4 linked regions of the Arabidopsis thaliana genome follow. The main gene of each other region encodes a partner of the protein of the gene in region 3 in a complex. Each region holds a gene or a part of one and is shown on either strand. Other genes may lie near its edges. The genes, in order: IDL2, CLE9, HSL1 and IDL3. A codon is read from its position in the direction of its gene.

Region 1 (3,506 bases), on a different chromosome or scaffold from region 3:
AAATATGTAATTAGATCGGTTTATTTGTCTTTAAAAATGATCATTACGTATTTGTTTAAAATCAAGTGCAGTTCAATATCATACACTATATTTTAAAAATGTTTCTGTTTATCTTCTTCTATTGATCACACCTTTCTGATCTTATGTACCTATTGATGATCACCTTCCGGCATAAATGTCACGTTTAATGTCAAAATAAATTAAATGGCTATAGAATTAGATGCAACCTTGGTCCATCACATTGACAAATCACAATAGACATTTCAAAGACATTATTGGTTATCATTAAAACAAATCGATAGATCCCAAGAAAAAAGTCGATTATAAATCTCAAGACCATTCTACATCAGACTTTTTAGTTACACCATATATTTCAAACCTCTTTAAAGTTTAAAGATTTGATCTATTCTTTTACAAACACACATACAAATTAGTCCTTGTGATATAATATTCAAAGTCAATTTTCGAACTAATCATAAACTTTTTCAGATAGTTAAATTATTATTATAATAACAAGAACACGTGTATATCATGAGGATGATCGGCTCACACACTTTGATACGTGCAATATTACAAATTCGAGCTATCCAAAAAATAATACAACTTCCAATTACAATTTCATAATAATAAATCATATGTTTAGCCTTGTCGACATTAATCAAACAAAAATAACCATTTTCTTGGCATTACCAAAAAAAAATAAAATAAAAAACATTTACACCAACTTAAAACTCAAAAGCAAAGGGTAAAAGAGAGGAACCGGAATGAAAGAAACATATAACTAATTAAAAGAAAGAAAGAAAATAAAATTCAAGACCTTTCAAGCTTTTTCTCACGGAGAAGATCGATGCCAACTAAGTAAACCAATATCATTGTGTTTTCTGGAGGGACCAGAAGCTGGAACAGGGAAGTGACGTGGCAAGAACCCCAAGAACTGTTTAGTTGAAGAAGAAACGGCGTCGTTGTGCTTCTTGTGTGGTTTCGAGTTGAAGACGTTCGTGTTTGTTCTTGCTCCATTGCAGAAACCAAGAAGAAGAATGAGAAGAAGAAGAATGGTTCTAGTGAAGAAGGAGACGAAGAAACTAGAGGTGATTCTTGATCTTTGGTTTCGAGACGACATTGTTGAAGAAGAGAGGTTTTTTGTGGAAGGGTTTTTGGTGAATTTGTTCTAAATATAATTGTTGTGAAAGGACTTTATTTTTTGTTTGTTGTTGATGGGGAAAAAGGAGATTGCTGAATGAATTTGTTGACAGCAAGAAATATGGGCAGATGGAGATTGAGAGAGATAGATAGAGAGAGAATCTGACTAAGAAGAGGTTTTTGAGTTATGTTTTCGTGTGTATTTAATTACTTCTGATATATACTTTCTCTTTATTTTTTCACGAACTATTCAACTATGCAAGTAGTTGTAGACTTGTTGACAACTGGTTTTGGTCTACAAGCCGAAGAAACTGTTTGGTGGTAGATTTTTTTAGACTTATAATTGTTGATAGTTTAGGTTTATTGAAAAAATGTTGCAGGGCACAAATATTTACAGTTCTTAAATTATTAAGGCAAAATTTATGGTAACTAAGCACACAAAATGGTTGTAGACTTATTGTCATTAAGTGGTTTAGGTTAAAGGGGGAGTGTTTTTTACTTGACCCACATATGATCTGAAAAATTATAGGGAACGAAGATTTGTTTACTGAAAGGTATGGAAAGTTTTAATGAAATGCCGAGAAAATTAAACCAGAAACTTTTGATATCCTCCATATTCGTTGTCTTTCACTTTTATGCGAAAGTTATTAGAGTAATGAAAACATCCCATTAGTTTTCATCATATTCATCAAAAACACTAACGATAGTCGATAGCTCGCTTAAGATTTATATATTTCAAAACAAATTATCTTATGGAAATGGAGACAAGACGTTTGTACGGCGCAATAATGTGTTTTTCTCTTGTCAACAGTTGCATAGAATTATTCTCTTTTGCTTTGTATTTTCGACACAACTAACATAGTAATTTTAAAGCTATAGTGCTTTGGGAGGGATTATCGTAAAACTCTTGCTTAACAAGACTATTTATAAAATTGGAAAGTTCAACATTTACTTGCATGAAATTTTGAAATCACCTGTTTTCAGTAAGGTTTGAGGTTTTATAATTTTAAAATATGATTTTACAAAATAGTCCAGTTATTACATTACACATATAATCTTTCTGGTGGATAAGTTTAACATTACAAAAAATAAAAATCCAATTAATTAGTTGACTATAACCTCTGGTATATAATAATTTTCTATAATATTGACAAAAACAAAGGAAATAAAAAGATTATATAACAAATAAAGATAGATTCGTTTGTTTCTTCAAATGCCTTGGATGCAAGGTTTCATGTCACCTATGTTCAATGAATAAGAAAGAACGGAGAAAGTGGGCAAAGAGAAAATATTAATACAAAGTGATATGGTAAGGTAAAGCCTTTTCTATGTTATGTCAAGACTCAAAACTTTATATAATTTTATAGTTTTTTTGTTAGGAGAAAATATGACAGGCCCCAGTCTAAATATAGTGACCGATTATAATTATGTCACAACATTGCGACTATTCAATCTTTATTGCGAAATCTTCCTCAATTTAAGCTACTTCAAATGCATATATGTTACCATATTTTGTGTAGACACACGTATGCACACAGTCCATATATCAATCACCGTTCTTGCCATTTCAATCTCTTATCTAAGCTTTTTCCATTAGAGTTAATTAGAGTTCTTCATTCAATGCAACCTCTTCCCAACACTTATACGGTTTTACCATTTTTCATCCACTTTTGTAAAAGGAAATCTAATAAATGAAATTCAGAGCCATAAGTCTACTTGGCATACAAATTACAAAAGATTAATGGACATATATACAACAGACCAAATAGTATGTGATCTATTGAGTTACAAATTAATTAAAATTTGCTTTCAAAATTTTATTTCTTGGTTAACGTACATGACAAAGGTCAGAATAAATGATTATTAGACCTGATACCTTGTAATAGTTATCTTTTATGGAAATTAAATTAAAAACATTTCAATGAGTATGGAGTAAAATGACTCTTATTGTCCCAATATTATGAGAAGAAGTACACGAACAGAAAGTAAACTAAAATAGAAGAGTCTTGGTAATGTCAGGAACAACAGTTGAAATCTAAAGTTGGTCTAAGTCCCATACCTTTCTCTACTATTTCAAACACTGACTACGTCTTAGCTACCCTATTACAAATCTAGCAACCGTACTTCTCCATTATTATTTCATTCTTTTATTTGAAATAGTGTTTCAAAATTATTTTATTTTAGGCCAACACGAAACTGACTGACAATTCTAGCTAATCCCTAGATTGGTTGTACAGGTTTCTAGTGAAGTATAGTTATGGACCATTGATTAATATAATGTAGTATCATAAATATATACTAAACAATATACTAATGGTAATTGGGTGTGCTTTCTGATCACATCATTAGTAAGAAATCAACCGACA
Region 2 (3,954 bases), 810 kb from region 3:
ATAAAAATTTTTTGATACTCAGATTATTACATTATACAGTGTGCAAATTTTTTATTGACATTTTTCATAAGAGAATAGTAGAGAAATGAGTGAAGACGTGACCATTGTCTAGGCGGATTTTGCTTAAGAGTGAAAGCTATACACGCATTATTTTAGTCTGTTTTTGGATAAAAGCAACCAAATAAAGAATGCAAGAAAGTAATTAGCTAACTAAGCAACAAAAAAAAAAAAGATTAGTAGATCCGACACATTTTAGCTGAATCCATCATTTTGTTGCGAGTAGACCGGTCCGGTCCAGAGATTTTGAAAGGCTCTAAACCCAAAAAGTGATATGTACTAGATAAAATACTCGAAATTCACAAGTTACAAACAAAAATTATAACTTTTTCTGATTCATCTTATACCAAAAATGCATTCAAGTTATTTCTATTTTACTCTATAAAGATTATTTTTTTCCCCTCCAATTTTGCTTCTTGTTTCCTTTTCTGTTTTGCCAGGCTTGCACTATATTCATCATCTCATCTTAAAACACTTTTATCCCATAAATTTGGCGATAAACATTAAGATATATACATTTTCTTTCATAACTTTCCTTTTCATAAAGAGTAATAAATAATATTTTCTACAACTTATAATCCGTTGATTAAATCGGATGATAACACGTACATGGTGGACGGTGCCACATTTGTAAAAATGAGTAGACATAAAAAATTTGGCTGGCAAAATGATAAAGGAAAATCTGGTTGGCAAAATTATAAATAAAAGTTTCTATATTTGCAAAGTTTTTACTATTGTCTATTGACAGAGACAAGCGAAATAAATATCTTTACAGCGAAATATCACACGAAAGAGAAGAACATAACATATATATGCCCCATCAACCTTTTTAAATTTTTATTGATAGACCAATGGAAACTTTAGAGTTACATAAATACAGCTCCCAAATTAATGGAGCTCATGCGTTTCTTCACCTCTCCTCTCCCAACCATACTAAATCTTTTTTTCTCCTTTCGCTTTCAAAACTATAATTTATCATTTTCTCATTAGAAAAACAAAAGAAAGTCCCTTGCAAAAATACACTATTTCCAAGATTGTTTTCACACTACAAAGCCCAAAAACAAGCGTGGAAATAGCTTAGTTACAATATTACCATAACGCAAGACTCCATTACAAGATCAAGAAAGTAGAAATAAGAAATTTCCGCAAAGAAGACCAAGAAGAACTAACGAACCATCTTCTTGGGCCAAAATAACTCTAGCTATAAAGTACACAAATCTCTCTCGAACAAATCCGAGAAACGAGTTAAATTAGAAAATATGTGACAAATGTTTCTGTATATATGTATGTATAGAAACTTGAGGATATGGTTTTAGTTGTGAAGCGGGTTTGGACCAGAGGGGACGAGTCTTTTGTCGACGCCGTACCTTGGATCAATCTCCGGAGGAGGAGGAGAAAGAAGTGGCTGCTTCCGACTGCTACGGTGGATTCTCTGAAGCTCAATGCACATAGAACGCGCGTAAGGACGAATGAAGGAATCACACGAACGGTGAGGAGTCACGTGGTAAGGGTGGTGGTTAAACCTCGGAACGAATCGGTGCGTTCGGTAACGGAAGTTTCTTGATGTTCTGTTTCCTTCGTCGACGACGGTTGAAGAAGCGGTGGAGGATTTGAGAAGTAAAGAGACGAAGAGAAGAGAGATCAAGATCAGACGATTCAGGTGAGTCATCGTCATTGTTTTGGTTTCCAAGAGAGAGCGAGAGAGAGAAAGTGAGAAGTGGTCTTGGAGAAGAAGAAGTTTAAAATCGAGAGAGGGAAGATATTTGGTGGAAGCAAATTGGGATATAAATGCAACACAGAAGAAGCACATGAATCGATGTTATGACGGTTAGTTTTAGTAAATGAGAGGGCAAAACTGGTTATACAAAAAAAAGTGGGTCCTTCGCTTAGTTCGTTTTCATTGACATAAATACCAACCCGTGAACTTTATTATATACATTTCGATCCTAGATTTATTTCACTTTCTTTAGCTTTTTCATACAATACGTTATACGTACAAAATAATGGGTTTATGTAGTAATTACGTACACAAGATAAACAAGAACGTGTATTTGAGTGGTTTCGTGACTCTCAAGTTAACTCCTGGGTCTTTATCGGCTTCTATAGTTTAAAGGCCTTAACAGGCCCAATAGGAGTCTATCTAAACCCAACTACCTATAAATTAGTAAAGTTACCAAATTTGGGATTTATTTATTTTGCTTTTCCTCCTTTCAATTGAATCAACAACTTTAACTTGAACACAACTCTCTCCCTTTTTATGTTAGAACCAAAACATCATCATAAAAGCAATAGACAATGGCTCTTGTAGTCTTGACTTTGATTGTGCTAATATGAATACAGAGGAAGTCTTATAGGTGAAAGCTCGAAAAAGGAAAAAAAAACTTTAAAAGTAACAGCTTTCTTTGAAGACAAGAAGAATGAATCTCAGTAATCAGTAAGAAACATGAAAGGTCCCTAAAAAGCTGAAGATAATATATACATCAATACTTGAGTTCATAAAGCAAAGAATTGGCTCTAAGTGATAAGCAAACTTTATATGAACAAATCAAAAAAAACTTTTGATCTAGTTCTAAAATGTGGAGCAAAGAAAACAAACAAAAAGTGGGGATGAAATACTATCAGAGAGAACTATAGTTCTCAGGTTCTGATTCATTCATCAGTATCCGAAACAGGAAGATAGAGATCGATTTGGTTACGCATTTCAGCTGCGTGGTTTGCAATGGAATGTGATCTCTTGTGACCACCTAAAGCTTGGCCTGATTTGAACATCCTGAAGCAAATTGGGCACTCATGACCTTTGCTCTTCACCTTCTCACCACCTTCTTTCTTAACCATTGAGGATTTGCTATCTTTGAACCTATGATGAATCTTGCTGTTTGTGTCTGCACATGAATCAGTTTCATAAGAAAACAAGGCTCTCTTGCTTTTGCTCAGCTCATACTTTGTTCCTCCCTCATTACTATTCCTGAACCTGATCAATGAGTTGTTGAATCCAGATCCAAATCCAGTGTTCCTGTCAACAGAAATGTCTGACTCCGACTTACTTGGACCATTCATGAAGTAATCAGAATCAGAGCCATCTGAATCACAGAGACTAACTCCATCATCATCAGCAGATCTCCATTGGTCATCTACTGCATTCTTCACATTCATGATCTTAAACTCATCCCCTGAAGATGACTTATTCTCAACAATCGCAGAGTTGTTGTCAGATGACTCACCAAGAGAATTCATCACCATGTTACGTCTTTTCTTGAAACTACTAGAATCACTCGACAACATCATCAAATTATAAGCCCCATCCCTACGTTCTTGGTCAATCTCAGAACCAAAAGACGAGCTCCCATTACTCAAAGATTCAGAATTTGATTGTTTCATGACCACCCTCTTGGATCTTTTCCTCATAGGAGCTGAGGAAGTCTCACTTTCAGTATCAGATTGGCTATTATCATCCATCAACATCTTCTTTACCTCACCGTGACAAGCCATGTGACCTCTAAGAGCTTTCAAAGAAACGAACACTCTACCACATTCTCTGCAACCAACTTGTTGTTGTTGCTTATGTTTCTGAGCCATCATCTTTCTCTGATCCACCAACCTCTTCTTCTTATTGCCATTGTAACCAACTGAATTCTCGTTCGTATGAATTCTAATGTGACCACCGAGTGCTTTCCCAGAAGGAAACGTCTTGTAACAGTACTTGCACAAAAACGAATTCTCTTTCCCTTCCTCCATTTGAAAATTTGACCTTCTTCTCTTAGACAAATGATCAAACAGCAAACAAGCAAGAAAGAATCAATAAAGGTTTCTCCTTTACACACGAAATCGAAAGAAGTAAAGAACCCATTTTTAATATCTGATGAGTTTAGTTTACCTCAAATCAAAATCTATGAATGA
Region 3 (6,660 bases):
ATGTGGAATCTCTATGAAACCTCATCATGCAACAAGTTGAAAAAAATAAACAAAAAGGAAATGCAAAAACAAAGAAAACAAAATTGAGAAATGATTTAGAGAGTGAAAGAGACAGAGAGACAAGGCAAAAGATGAAGGTGAGGTGTCTATGTCCCTTGAATTGAATGATAACAATGTGGGCTGGCTTCAATGCTTATTGGACCCACTTTTAATTTCCTCACCCAACAGCTCATATTTAGATTCTCACCCTATTTATGTAACCTTAATGTAAAATTCTCTAGTTAGATGATAAAGCTTAGCTAATGTTGAGATGTCAATGTTTTTGTTTTGGATTTGTTTTATACTCAACAATAATAGAAGTTATCTCTTTAGTTTTTAATGTCGTTACTTAATTGCAATTAGGAAGTTAAACGTTTACCTAATCACTACCGGTCGATTTACATGACTTAACTAATTCTTTTTCTCTTTTTGGAATTATATCTTTCTTACAAATAGTTCTCGAACTCCAAGAATATCATGTTTTAAAGAATGACTGTCAAAAAAACATACGTTGTTTATTATAGATACTAGACTTCACACAAGTAACTAAAAGTTAGAGATCTTTTCGCAGGAAGGTTGATATTAGTCATTTCATGTGCCAAGTCTGATGTTCATGCTCGTGTACGGAGAGAGTAAGTAAAGGAAATAACACAACCTGAAATTATAAATAATAATAGAAAAGTTGGTTTGAAAAAGTTGAGAATTTAAGAGACATGTGAATCTACAGTGACATCAAACTGTACACGAGCCTCCAAGAGTTCACTAAAAACGAGAGAGAGAGAGAGAGCCTAATGCTTTAAAAGATTCAGATAGACATGTTCCTACACGAACCTTGAATCTGTTTACCCAAATATGGAAACTATTTAAATGCATGTTAACGCCAGAAAGATCGCAACTTTTTCATTTGCATTTACCAAAGATAAAAACTCTTACAAAACCAGAGTTTACTAATAGCTTTATACAGTGGAGAAACTGAAACGCTGAATTAGAAACTTCTTTATATATATTATAAAAATTTCGACAATCTCTGATTCTCACTTTTAGATCAAAACCCTAAAAAGGGGTGAGAGAATCTTGATTCAATGCCCTAAATTGACAGCTTCAAGCACCAAAAATTGAGAGAGCTTTTTTGGGCAAAACACTTTTCTTTCTCCATTTGTGTCTCAAGCTATACTTCCTTGGTCTGAGGTGTCTTCGTTGTAATAAGGTGTTAACTTGCCATCCTTGTCATCTCTTATCTTGTGTAGGCTATCTTCGTCTCCACCACCAATTTCTTGCAACATCTTAACCACACGCCTCATGGAAGGTCGGTTAATGGGCAACGGACTCGTGCAGAGGAGTCCAACGTTGAGGATTTTGCTTATCTCTTCTTTGAAACAAGAGTCGAGTTTCGGGTCTATCACATGCTCTATGCCTTTTTGGTCCAATGTAGAGCAAACCCACTTCACCAAATCCTTCTCCCCAAGTTCTGGATCAACCGGGCGTTTCCTAGTTACTATCTCAAGGATCACTACCCCGAAACTGTAGATGTCGCTTTTCTCGTTCACACGAAGCGTATATGCGTATTCTGCAAGAAGTTTGAAATGAAAGTTATGGAGGGAAACAGACAAACAAACAAAAAGTTTCAAATTCCATTAATGGACAAGTGAGAAGTTGTGGAGCCATGGTTTCAGACATGTCTCAATAGATAGTGAATGCTCATTTAAGTCTCAACTAATAAAACTTAAATGTGGTTCATCTGAATCTCCGTGCAACATGTACCAAATGAGCATTATTACCTTAAGCAAAACTGTTGATTAAACAAAGCACATTTAACTTGAATCATAAGACTAACCTGGTGCGATATAACCGCATGAACCAGCGATCACTGACATCGATTTAGGAGCTTTTCCGGTCAAGTCGACAGCTTTAGCCACACCAAAATCAGCAACTCTTGCACCATAATCTCCATCGATCAAAATATTGTTTGACTTAATATCTCTATGCACAATCGGAGGAACAGAATCATGGTGAAGATACGAAAGCCCCTCAGCCGCATCTAAGATAATCTTAAACCTCGTTTGCCATCCCAACATTCCTCCTTTACTGCTATGAAGCAAATCTCCCAAACTACCATTAGGCATGTACTCATAAACCAAGAGCTTGCAGTCTCTTGTAGAACAGCAACACCATAGCTTCACAATGTTCTTATGCCTAATCTTACCCAATGTCTCAACTTCAGCTTCAAAAGCCTCATCTTGAACTCCAGGTTTGTAACCTTTCTCTGGATCACAATCTCCAGTTTCCTTAACAGAACCTGTCCATAAACGCTTAACCGCAACAGTTTCCCCATTGGTGAGTACAACCTTGTAAACTTTACCTGAAGCTCCAGCTCCAATCACATTATCTTCATCCAAGCTTTCAAGAATCTCATGCTCACTGAACCCGAGTTTGTGGAACGACATTAGAGTCCACTTAGATCTCTCCATGGCTCTTGCTTTCTTGAAAGTCCTGTACTTGAAGTAGAACCAAGCAACACCCGCAAGAAGCACCATCGCAGCAAGTACGAAAATCGATCTAAGAAGCCATACATAGCCTCTCTTCTTAGCTTCATTCTCAGAGCCACACAATCCCTTGATATCCCCACACAATCCCGGGTTCCCAATGAAGCTATTCTTATACATATCTTTCGCTAAAGAAGGCGGTAAGTCACCCGATAACCGGTTATAAGACAGATTCAGCTGGTTTAGCTTCAAACTCTGCAATGAAACCGGGATCTTGCCAGAGAACATGTTACCAGAAAGATCAAGATAGTTCAATACTGACAAACTCCCGATTTCATCTGGAATTTTACCGGTGAATTCGTTATCGGCTAAGTTTAACTCGTTGAGCTTCTTCCAAGATTTGATTCCAGAAGTTAACTCTCCTGAAAACTGATTACCATGAAGATCAAGAGTACCTAATTCTCCAAGACTCATCAAGCTATCAGGCAACGAGCCACTGAACTTGTTCCCACTTGCCGACAACTGATTAAGATTATCCAAAGAACCAATTTCCTCCGGCAAAGATCCGGTGAATTCATTGTTGGAGAGAATCAACAGCGAGAGATTTGAAGCACCTCCAATGGACTTCGAAATTTCACCGGAGAACGAGTTGTTGACGAGCTCAAGCAAGTTAACATGAGGCAATCCCCAGAAACCTGTAGGAACTGAACCGGAAAACCGGTTATAAGCTAACCGGATACGTGTCAAGCTCCTGCAATCGGCGAGACTCTCCGGTATAACGCCGGAGAAGGAATTGTGTATAATCAACAACTCCTCTAGCTCTCCTTTCGCACACAGATCCGCCGGTAAGTCGCCGGAAAATTCGTTTTCCGAAACATCCAACCATCTCAACGGCGAGTTTAGACCGAGGTCTTTTGGTAATCCACCGGTTAACCGGTTTCCGAATATTCTAATCTCGTACAAGTTCGGAGATAACGCTATACTCGCCGGAAGCTCACCTTCTAGATTGTTCTCGTAGAGATTCAAACTCTCCAACGGCACACGGCAAAGCTCGTCCGGTATTTTCCCGGTTAACTGATTCATCGACGCGTCGAGAAGTCTCAACGATTTCAAATTCCCGAGCTCCGGTGGAATCTCTCCGGTCAACGAGTTGTTGTACAGCTCAATCTGAACGACGTTAGTCAAACCACCGAGCGAAGGAGGAATATGACCTACAAGGTCGTTGAGCGCAAGGTCTAAATCAACGAGTTTACTGAGTTGACCCAGCGAGTCAGGGATCTGTCCGACTAAATGACACTCAGTGAGCCACATAACCTCGAGATTCGTCAAGTTCCCGAACTCCGGCGGGATCCGACTCGGACTAAAGGGGTTATACGAAAGATTCAGCATCTTCAACGTGCTGATGTTGCCGAGAAACGGAGGAATCGTACCGTCTAAGAGATTGTAAACAAGAGAAAGAACCTCTAGGTTTTCGAATTTGCCGAAACTCGCCGGAATGTCACCGGAAAAGTTGTTACCGGTCAAATCTAAGTGAACCAAAGTCGGAATATCGGCAAGAGTTTGTGGAAGCTCACCGGTGAGTAGATTCTGAGAGAGATCGAGAGTTTGAAGACTCTTACAAGCAGCGATGTTGAGAGGAAGAGTAGAGTTGATGGAGTTATTGTACAAAGAGAGATGAGCCAGATTAGAGAGACGACAAATGACTGAAGGAAAAGGTCCGGCGAGATTAGCGCTGGAGAGGTCTACGGAAGTGACGGAGGAGAAATCACCGGCGCAGGAAACGCCGGACCACCGACAAGGAGAAGCATCGTTGGAGTTCCAGGAAGAGAGATATGAGTCTGGGTCGTCTAACGAGAGCTTGACTTGTTGAAGAATGAAACCGTCTTGGTTAAGAGAGAAGACGGTGGGGAAAAGTAAGAAGAGAAAGAGAAGATACATGTTTCTTCGTCTTCCCCGGTATCTATGACGGTGGTTGAAGAAAGAGAGAGAGATAAGAGAGTATGAAGAAGAGAGTGTTTGTGAGAGAGTGCTTTGAAGGAAGAGAAGAAGAGAGTCTATAAAAAGCGTTGACCGGAGACAGGTGAATTATCGTGACTCTGACTGTGAATGCTATAAAAATCATTTGTTTTTCTACTATCATTTATTTTGTTTTTGTTTTCTATAACGATTCTCTCTAATTATTTGTTTGCAATTATTAGTATCTATGTCGAGTTTCCAACATTGTATAATTATCCTGTGTTTATCTGATTATAAAAGAGAATGTTACTAATAATGATGATCTAGCTAAATAGCCATATGGAAGGAAACATTCTTTTTTTGTACTTTGTTGTTTAAGAGAATGCAACTGTTTTTAAATTAGTTATGTAGGAGACGATAAGATTGTAAATTTTCAATTAAATAATTTTAGCTTTATAATATATATGGAATTTGCATACAAATTTGATTTCATTATATATGTTTTTAATGTAAATGAAAAGTTAGTTAGTAGAGTAAATGTGCATTTTAAAAAAATTGCAAGGTGAAAAGAAGGTACGGTAAACATTAATTTTGAAATGTAGATATCTGATTTTTTTTTTTTTTTTTTTTTGGAGATGGAATGAGATATATTCCGACAGTTTTATTTATTATCGGCGTTTGTAAAGTAGTAAAGTACAAATATTGTTAGAACATATCAAAAAAAAAAAAAACAGAATGTGTTGGAAGTTTACTTGGAACGTAGTCTAAAGTCGATGTGAATTAAATTAATTATCATTCAATTTTAAAAAGTTTATGCACGTCTTAAAGAGTATTAGGAATATTGTATCAACTATTAAGAGAATAAACTAGCATGCATGTAGAAACATGAAAATATTTTATTTTGTTGAAATGTGAAATTCATTTTTGAAGATAATAATATGTAGTTATTTACAAAAAATGCAAAGAAAATATGGAAGATAGGATAAGATATCAAAATATTGAGATATTTATGAAATTAAACATTCTCTAATGAAATTTGTTATACTAATTAGTATTGCAAAGGGAAAGAGGGGGACAAACTTGTATGGTTAAACGTTAGGAAACATATTGCCTAATGGTGTAGTCAATATGAGAATGCACTTCTCAAGCGAGAGTCATGAGTATTGCTTATCTTAGAGATGTCATAGTCTTAAAAAAGTATTCGAGTCGAATAAGAGTTCTTTATGGTTTTTAAATTTTAGGTTGATATGCAACAAAATTGGAAGACGTAAAATAATGTATTGTGAAAAACAAACTGTGTGTACACTTTGTTCTTATTCTCACAACTTGGTTTTCATAAGTTGTTACGGCTAAACGAAATCGTAAATTATTTTGTAGGATGTGAAAAAGAGTTGCACTAACTGTACTTGTGTTCAAGAATTTTGTTTTTGAGGACGTGAATACATTGTTGAATCCAGTTAAAAAAAATTGTTATCTATTTTTGTTTTTATTTTCTTACGATTTGGATTTCATGCCCGTTACATTATGAGAATTGTTACGTTTACTATCATAATCTCAATCTTAGTTTATCAGTTGGAATTTGATTTTATTTTAGTTAATCTTAATTTAACAAAATAATAAACTCATAAAAGAACAACACAAATTTTGCCTACATATATGTTAGTTAGAAAACGTATGTTCTAACATATGTATCGGTTGAGAAAAGCATCACTTTAATCAACATACCATTTGAATGATATTTAAAGAGATAGATGAGTGAAATTTTGGAGATAGATTGATTCCAAGCAGTCTTCTCTTCTTCGTGTTTCTAATAGTTTCTGTGAAACACACAATACAAGTTGTCAAAAAAAAATTAGGGTACACTAAACGGAGTTCGACACTTGTATCCTATAAGATAGACATTTAAGAAATTACGTACACTACAATAGCTACAAATCTCTGTCTTATGAGATTGTTATAAGCAAAGTCTCTTTCATCCTACAAATTGTTGCTAGCTAGTTGATTGAAAGAAACCGTCAAATTAGTTTTGTTTATATTTTTAATTTCATTACTTAGTTAATCAAGTTTCCATTACGTGTGATTGATGTCCTCTTATAGTTTCATAACATTGTCACTTTGGAATTATTTAATAGAACTATTAATTTGTTACGAGTATTGTGTACAAGCAAGCAACCTTTGATCT
Region 4 (3,342 bases), on a different chromosome or scaffold from region 3:
TCCCTTGAAGAATTGTTGTAGTCATTAATATTTGTAAAACAAATGTGATAAAAGGAAGTGAACTTATTGACCAGACAGATTCGACGGCCTTTTGCAACTTTTGTTGCTTCCTTTTCCTTTTCAAAGTCCACTTTAAATAAAGTCTTTATCGATTACCTTAGCGACAAAGTGTCAATGACATCAAGAGTAAACTACTACTCGGTTATGTGAATGTGACAGTCCAGGCTCGTGTATGGGCCTTGTATGTAACCCAAACCATCGTTCGTAGGCTTAGTCATTTATTATTATTTTGCGAATCAGAGGCCCATTAAATTTACTCCTCTTTTTCTATGTCAATACATAGAAAACAAATAAAGAAAGAAGGCGAGTTATCGTTATGCTATAACCTCATCGCACTTTTTATGTTTTTTTGGTATGAGCCTCATCGCATTTGTTATCTTTATGATCGTGTTTATATTATATATGTAAATGTAGTGCGATTGCAATGAAATAACGTTTCTTTTAGTGAAGAATTGCGCTTAAGTTTTTGGCGGAGGGTAATTGTATTGCAAAAGTCACTAAACTTTAGAGAGAAGCATTTAACCTTTCGGATTACAAAAAAATACTGTGACAATAAAAAAAAAAAATCAATGAGAATGATGCATTGGAGAAAACGTGTATGAACAGATGGTCGGTAAAAAAAAAAAAAAAAACGTGTATGAACAGATGGTCGGTAATTAGCACGAAAATCGCTTTGGTTGTAATTTGTAATAGTACTATTTTATACTCGTATATTTTCAACAGTGTTGTTACAGTAACGCTAAGGAACTAGCCTGGACAAGCTTTTACATCTCATTTACTGTTGTTGTTCTGACACAACTACTGTTGTTGCCTTTTATGTTCGGTTTCCTTCGTTCTTCTAAGTTCTGACATCTTGTTCGTACAAAGGGGTCTCATCGTCATTATTCTCTGCCTTCAATATATATGCCGCAAAAGAGGATGCAACTCAAAAGTGTCCACTAAAGCTACGGTCTTTAAGTTGATGATTACGTTAAGGAAGATGTCCAAGAAATAAAAAGTTGATGTCTTGATGATGACTAAAATTTAGAATTGGTTGATCCGGTCTTGCGGTGCAGTAGTTGTATTGCCTGGTCGTTAAGTCACGTTACGTTTTAGCTCGAACTTGTTTTACGTAAAGGATAGATCTAGGAAATATAGAAACTTTTTTATGCATATGCGCGTGGTTTGCTCAATCAATTGTAAGAGATTGCAAGGATAGAATACACTATAGTATTATCAAACTGATATGAAATTATTTTATTTTGTCGTCAAGTAATATGAATTATATTTTTTTCACATAACATGAAATGAAAAGGCTTGACCTTGACCCACCACTAATTATTTTTCTTTCGTTTTCTTCTCTTTGTCCCCTCTCACTTTCACTCCACAGAGAGGATTAATTGATAATATATTATAGAAACAAATGTGAAATGTATTTTAAATTGAAAGTAAACTAAAAATCTTGACAATGTTAATAACCTGTAATCCTAATGGTCAATGCTAAAACCGTTATTATATGATCAGACATGGTCAAACCCACATAATACATGTTATTTCAAACGCAAAATTAGAAATATCATAAATATGCAATAGTACTTATACGTGAACCTAATTAAAGACAGCTATAAAGGAGTCTTCCTCCAACTTTTTTTGTCTTGTGGGTCATATCAAGAGCTATGAAGAGACGTTATTGTTTTTGCCCAACAACGTTTTTTACGCATTCCAATATGAGATCATGTTCAGAAATAGTTAATTTAAACTCAAGTGAAGGTAGTATAGGGGTAAAACATCTTGTGTCTCCAATTTGATTTAGTATGTTTTGAATAATGTAATTACTACGTAAATATCCATGATTAACTAGATTTAGGTTTAGTGCATGGTTTTCCTTAATAAGAGAGATAAGAATAGAACCATATGAGTAAATAAAAAGAAACATACAAATAGAACCATAAGTCAACATCTTTCCAATCAAAATCTCTCTCTCTTGATGTGCCCATATTTCTAGCTGTCAACAATTCACAGCCTTCTCTTTTTCATTCAATCACCCATCAACAAAAAAATAAAACCTTTTAAATATTAAATACTTCCACCCAAAACTCCTTCAAACAAAAATCACTTCCCTCCCTCCATCTCTCTCTATTCACTCTCCCAATTTACACCAATGTCTTCTCGAAGCCACCGATCAAGAAAATATCAACTCACGAGAACAATTCCTATTCTTGTTCTTCTTCTTGTCCTTTTGAGTTGCTGCAATGGAGCAAGAACCACGAACGTCTTCAACACAAGCTCGCCACCCAAACAAAAGGACGTCGTTTCGCCACCTCATGATCATGTCCATCATCAAGTACAAGATCACAAAAGTGTACAGTTCTTGGGGTCCCTGCCACGTCAGTTTCCGGTTCCAACTTCTGGTCCTTCCAGAAAACATAACGAAATCGGTTTAAGTAGTACTAAGACTTAATCTTCACCTTGTAGTTCAAAGGTTTGATTAATGAATCATCCTTTTTACTTCTGTAAGTTTTTTTTGTTTTAGTTTTTGCCCCTTTTGAATTTGGTTCAAACTGATGTAAATAGATTTCAGTTTGATTTATTTATGGGCAATGCTGTGGATACGATCAAATTTTTTAGTTTAATATTGGAACTTGTTTGATCCATTGAAATATTGCAAGTACGTAAGAGCATCCACATTGGTGGTTATTTATACATGTCTTTAAATATAAAACTATAAAAAATAATAATAATAAAATAATGAATGTCTTTAATTTGAGATTTGTGTCTTCCTAAAGACACTTTATACACAACAAAAGTGAAATGTCTTTAATTTTATTATTTATTTATACTAAAAACATATATAAAAAGTTGTCTACTCTAAGTGTACAAGAGCCGAGGATAGAAGGGTCGGTTTCTAATTAAACAATTATTGTTCTTTTTATTTTCCGTCTTCTAATTTGATATATATGAAATTATATATCATATGTTCACTGTATCCTAATCGTGGATTATTACGGACATAATGATAATTGTTGAGATATATACAAGTCCCGATCAATTTAGGCTACATCTGTTTGGTAGAATATTGATGGATATAAGCCGAGTAGTGATTTCAATATTTTATATCCACTCTCTTCTTATAAGTTATGGTAATAACAAATAGAAGGTTATTCTACATATACTAGTATTTGAGTTGGTGTTTAAATACCTCGGGTTATTCGGACATGCATAGAGAAAATATATGGTATTTTAAGATAAACATTATCCCATAATATATGGACATTGACAAATACAAATAATGTGTGTTCGTGC

The links.
Region 1: the proteins of HSL1 (region 3) and IDL2 are in contact, whole or in part, in a crystal structure (PDB 7OGQ), measured with the Arabidopsis thaliana proteins. Residues at the interface, in NP_174166.1 of Arabidopsis thaliana: Tyr92 (codon at 4,187), Asn93 (codon at 4,184), Gln117 (codon at 4,112), Thr140 (codon at 4,043), Val164 (codon at 3,971), Tyr165 (codon at 3,968), Tyr189 (codon at 3,896), Trp211 (codon at 3,830), Asp233 (codon at 3,764), Asp235 (codon at 3,758), Gln257 (codon at 3,692), Glu259 (codon at 3,686), Tyr261 (codon at 3,680), Leu281 (codon at 3,620), Asp283 (codon at 3,614), Ser285 (codon at 3,608), Met286 (codon at 3,605), Ser304 (codon at 3,551), Asn306 (codon at 3,545), Tyr308 (codon at 3,539), Glu309 (codon at 3,536), Glu328 (codon at 3,479), Arg330 (codon at 3,473), Phe332 (codon at 3,467), Asp354 (codon at 3,401), Ser356 (codon at 3,395), Glu357 (codon at 3,392), Glu376 (codon at 3,335), Leu378 (codon at 3,329), Ile380 (codon at 3,323); in NP_001078796.1 of Arabidopsis thaliana: Val73 (codon at 904), Pro74 (codon at 901), Ala75 (codon at 898), Ser76 (codon at 895), Gly77 (codon at 892), Pro78 (codon at 889), Ser79 (codon at 886), Arg80 (codon at 883), Lys81 (codon at 880), His82 (codon at 877), Asn83 (codon at 874).
Region 2: the proteins of HSL1 (region 3) and CLE9 are in contact, whole or in part, in a crystal structure (PDB 7OGU), measured with the Arabidopsis thaliana proteins. Residues at the interface, in NP_174166.1 of Arabidopsis thaliana: Val164 (codon at 3,971), Tyr165 (codon at 3,968), Tyr189 (codon at 3,896), Trp211 (codon at 3,830), Asp233 (codon at 3,764), Asp235 (codon at 3,758), Gln257 (codon at 3,692), Glu259 (codon at 3,686), Tyr261 (codon at 3,680), Leu281 (codon at 3,620), Leu282 (codon at 3,617), Asp283 (codon at 3,614), Met286 (codon at 3,605), Ser304 (codon at 3,551), Asn306 (codon at 3,545), Tyr308 (codon at 3,539), Glu328 (codon at 3,479), Arg330 (codon at 3,473), Phe332 (codon at 3,467), Asp354 (codon at 3,401), Ser356 (codon at 3,395), Glu376 (codon at 3,335), Leu378 (codon at 3,329), Ile380 (codon at 3,323), Arg400 (codon at 3,263), Arg402 (codon at 3,257); in NP_564251.1 of Arabidopsis thaliana: Arg109, Leu110, Val111, Pro112, Ser113, Gly114, Pro115, Asn116, Pro117, Leu118, His119, Asn120.
Region 4: the proteins of HSL1 (region 3) and IDL3 are in contact, whole or in part, in a crystal structure (PDB 7OGZ), measured with the Arabidopsis thaliana proteins. Residues at the interface, in NP_174166.1 of Arabidopsis thaliana: Tyr165 (codon at 3,968), Tyr189 (codon at 3,896), Trp211 (codon at 3,830), Asp233 (codon at 3,764), Asp235 (codon at 3,758), Gln257 (codon at 3,692), Glu259 (codon at 3,686), Tyr261 (codon at 3,680), Leu281 (codon at 3,620), Asp283 (codon at 3,614), Ser285 (codon at 3,608), Met286 (codon at 3,605), Ser304 (codon at 3,551), Asn306 (codon at 3,545), Tyr308 (codon at 3,539), Glu309 (codon at 3,536), Glu328 (codon at 3,479), Arg330 (codon at 3,473), Phe332 (codon at 3,467), Asp354 (codon at 3,401), Ser356 (codon at 3,395), Glu376 (codon at 3,335), Leu378 (codon at 3,329), Ile380 (codon at 3,323), Arg400 (codon at 3,263), Arg402 (codon at 3,257); in NP_001318520.1 of Arabidopsis thaliana: Pro79 (codon at 2,435), Pro81 (codon at 2,441), Thr82 (codon at 2,444), Ser83 (codon at 2,447), Gly84 (codon at 2,450), Pro85 (codon at 2,453), Ser86 (codon at 2,456), Arg87 (codon at 2,459), Lys88 (codon at 2,462), His89 (codon at 2,465), Asn90 (codon at 2,468).

Annotation. Positions count from the first base shown.
Region 1 is NC_003076.8:25,848,411-25,851,916, reverse strand, and holds IDL2 (inflorescence deficient in abscission (IDA)-like 2), read right to left. Parts: upstream 1,409-3,506; 5' UTR 1,121-1,408; coding exon 833-1,120; 3' UTR 542-832; downstream 1-541. UniProt on the Arabidopsis thaliana protein: May be involved in floral abscission.
Region 2 is NC_003070.9:9,189,462-9,193,415, reverse strand, and holds CLE9 (CLAVATA3/ESR-RELATED 9), read right to left. Parts: upstream 1,914-3,954; 5' UTR 1,868-1,913; coding exon 1,370-1,867; 3' UTR 826-1,369; downstream 1-825. Other genes in the region: AT1G26590 (C2H2-like zinc finger protein), read right to left, coding at 2,707-3,808, 3,932-3,954.
Region 3 is NC_003070.9:9,994,714-10,001,373, reverse strand, and holds HSL1 (HAESA-like 1), read right to left. Parts: upstream 4,662-6,660; 5' UTR 4,461-4,661; coding exon 1,874-4,460; intron 1,607-1,873; coding exon 1,203-1,606; 3' UTR 919-1,202; downstream 1-918.
Region 4 is NC_003076.8:3,045,018-3,048,359, forward strand, and holds IDL3 (inflorescence deficient in abscission (IDA)-like 3), read left to right. Parts: upstream 1-1,993; 5' UTR 1,994-2,200; coding exon 2,201-2,500; 3' UTR 2,501-2,736; downstream 2,737-3,342. UniProt on the Arabidopsis thaliana protein: May be involved in floral abscission.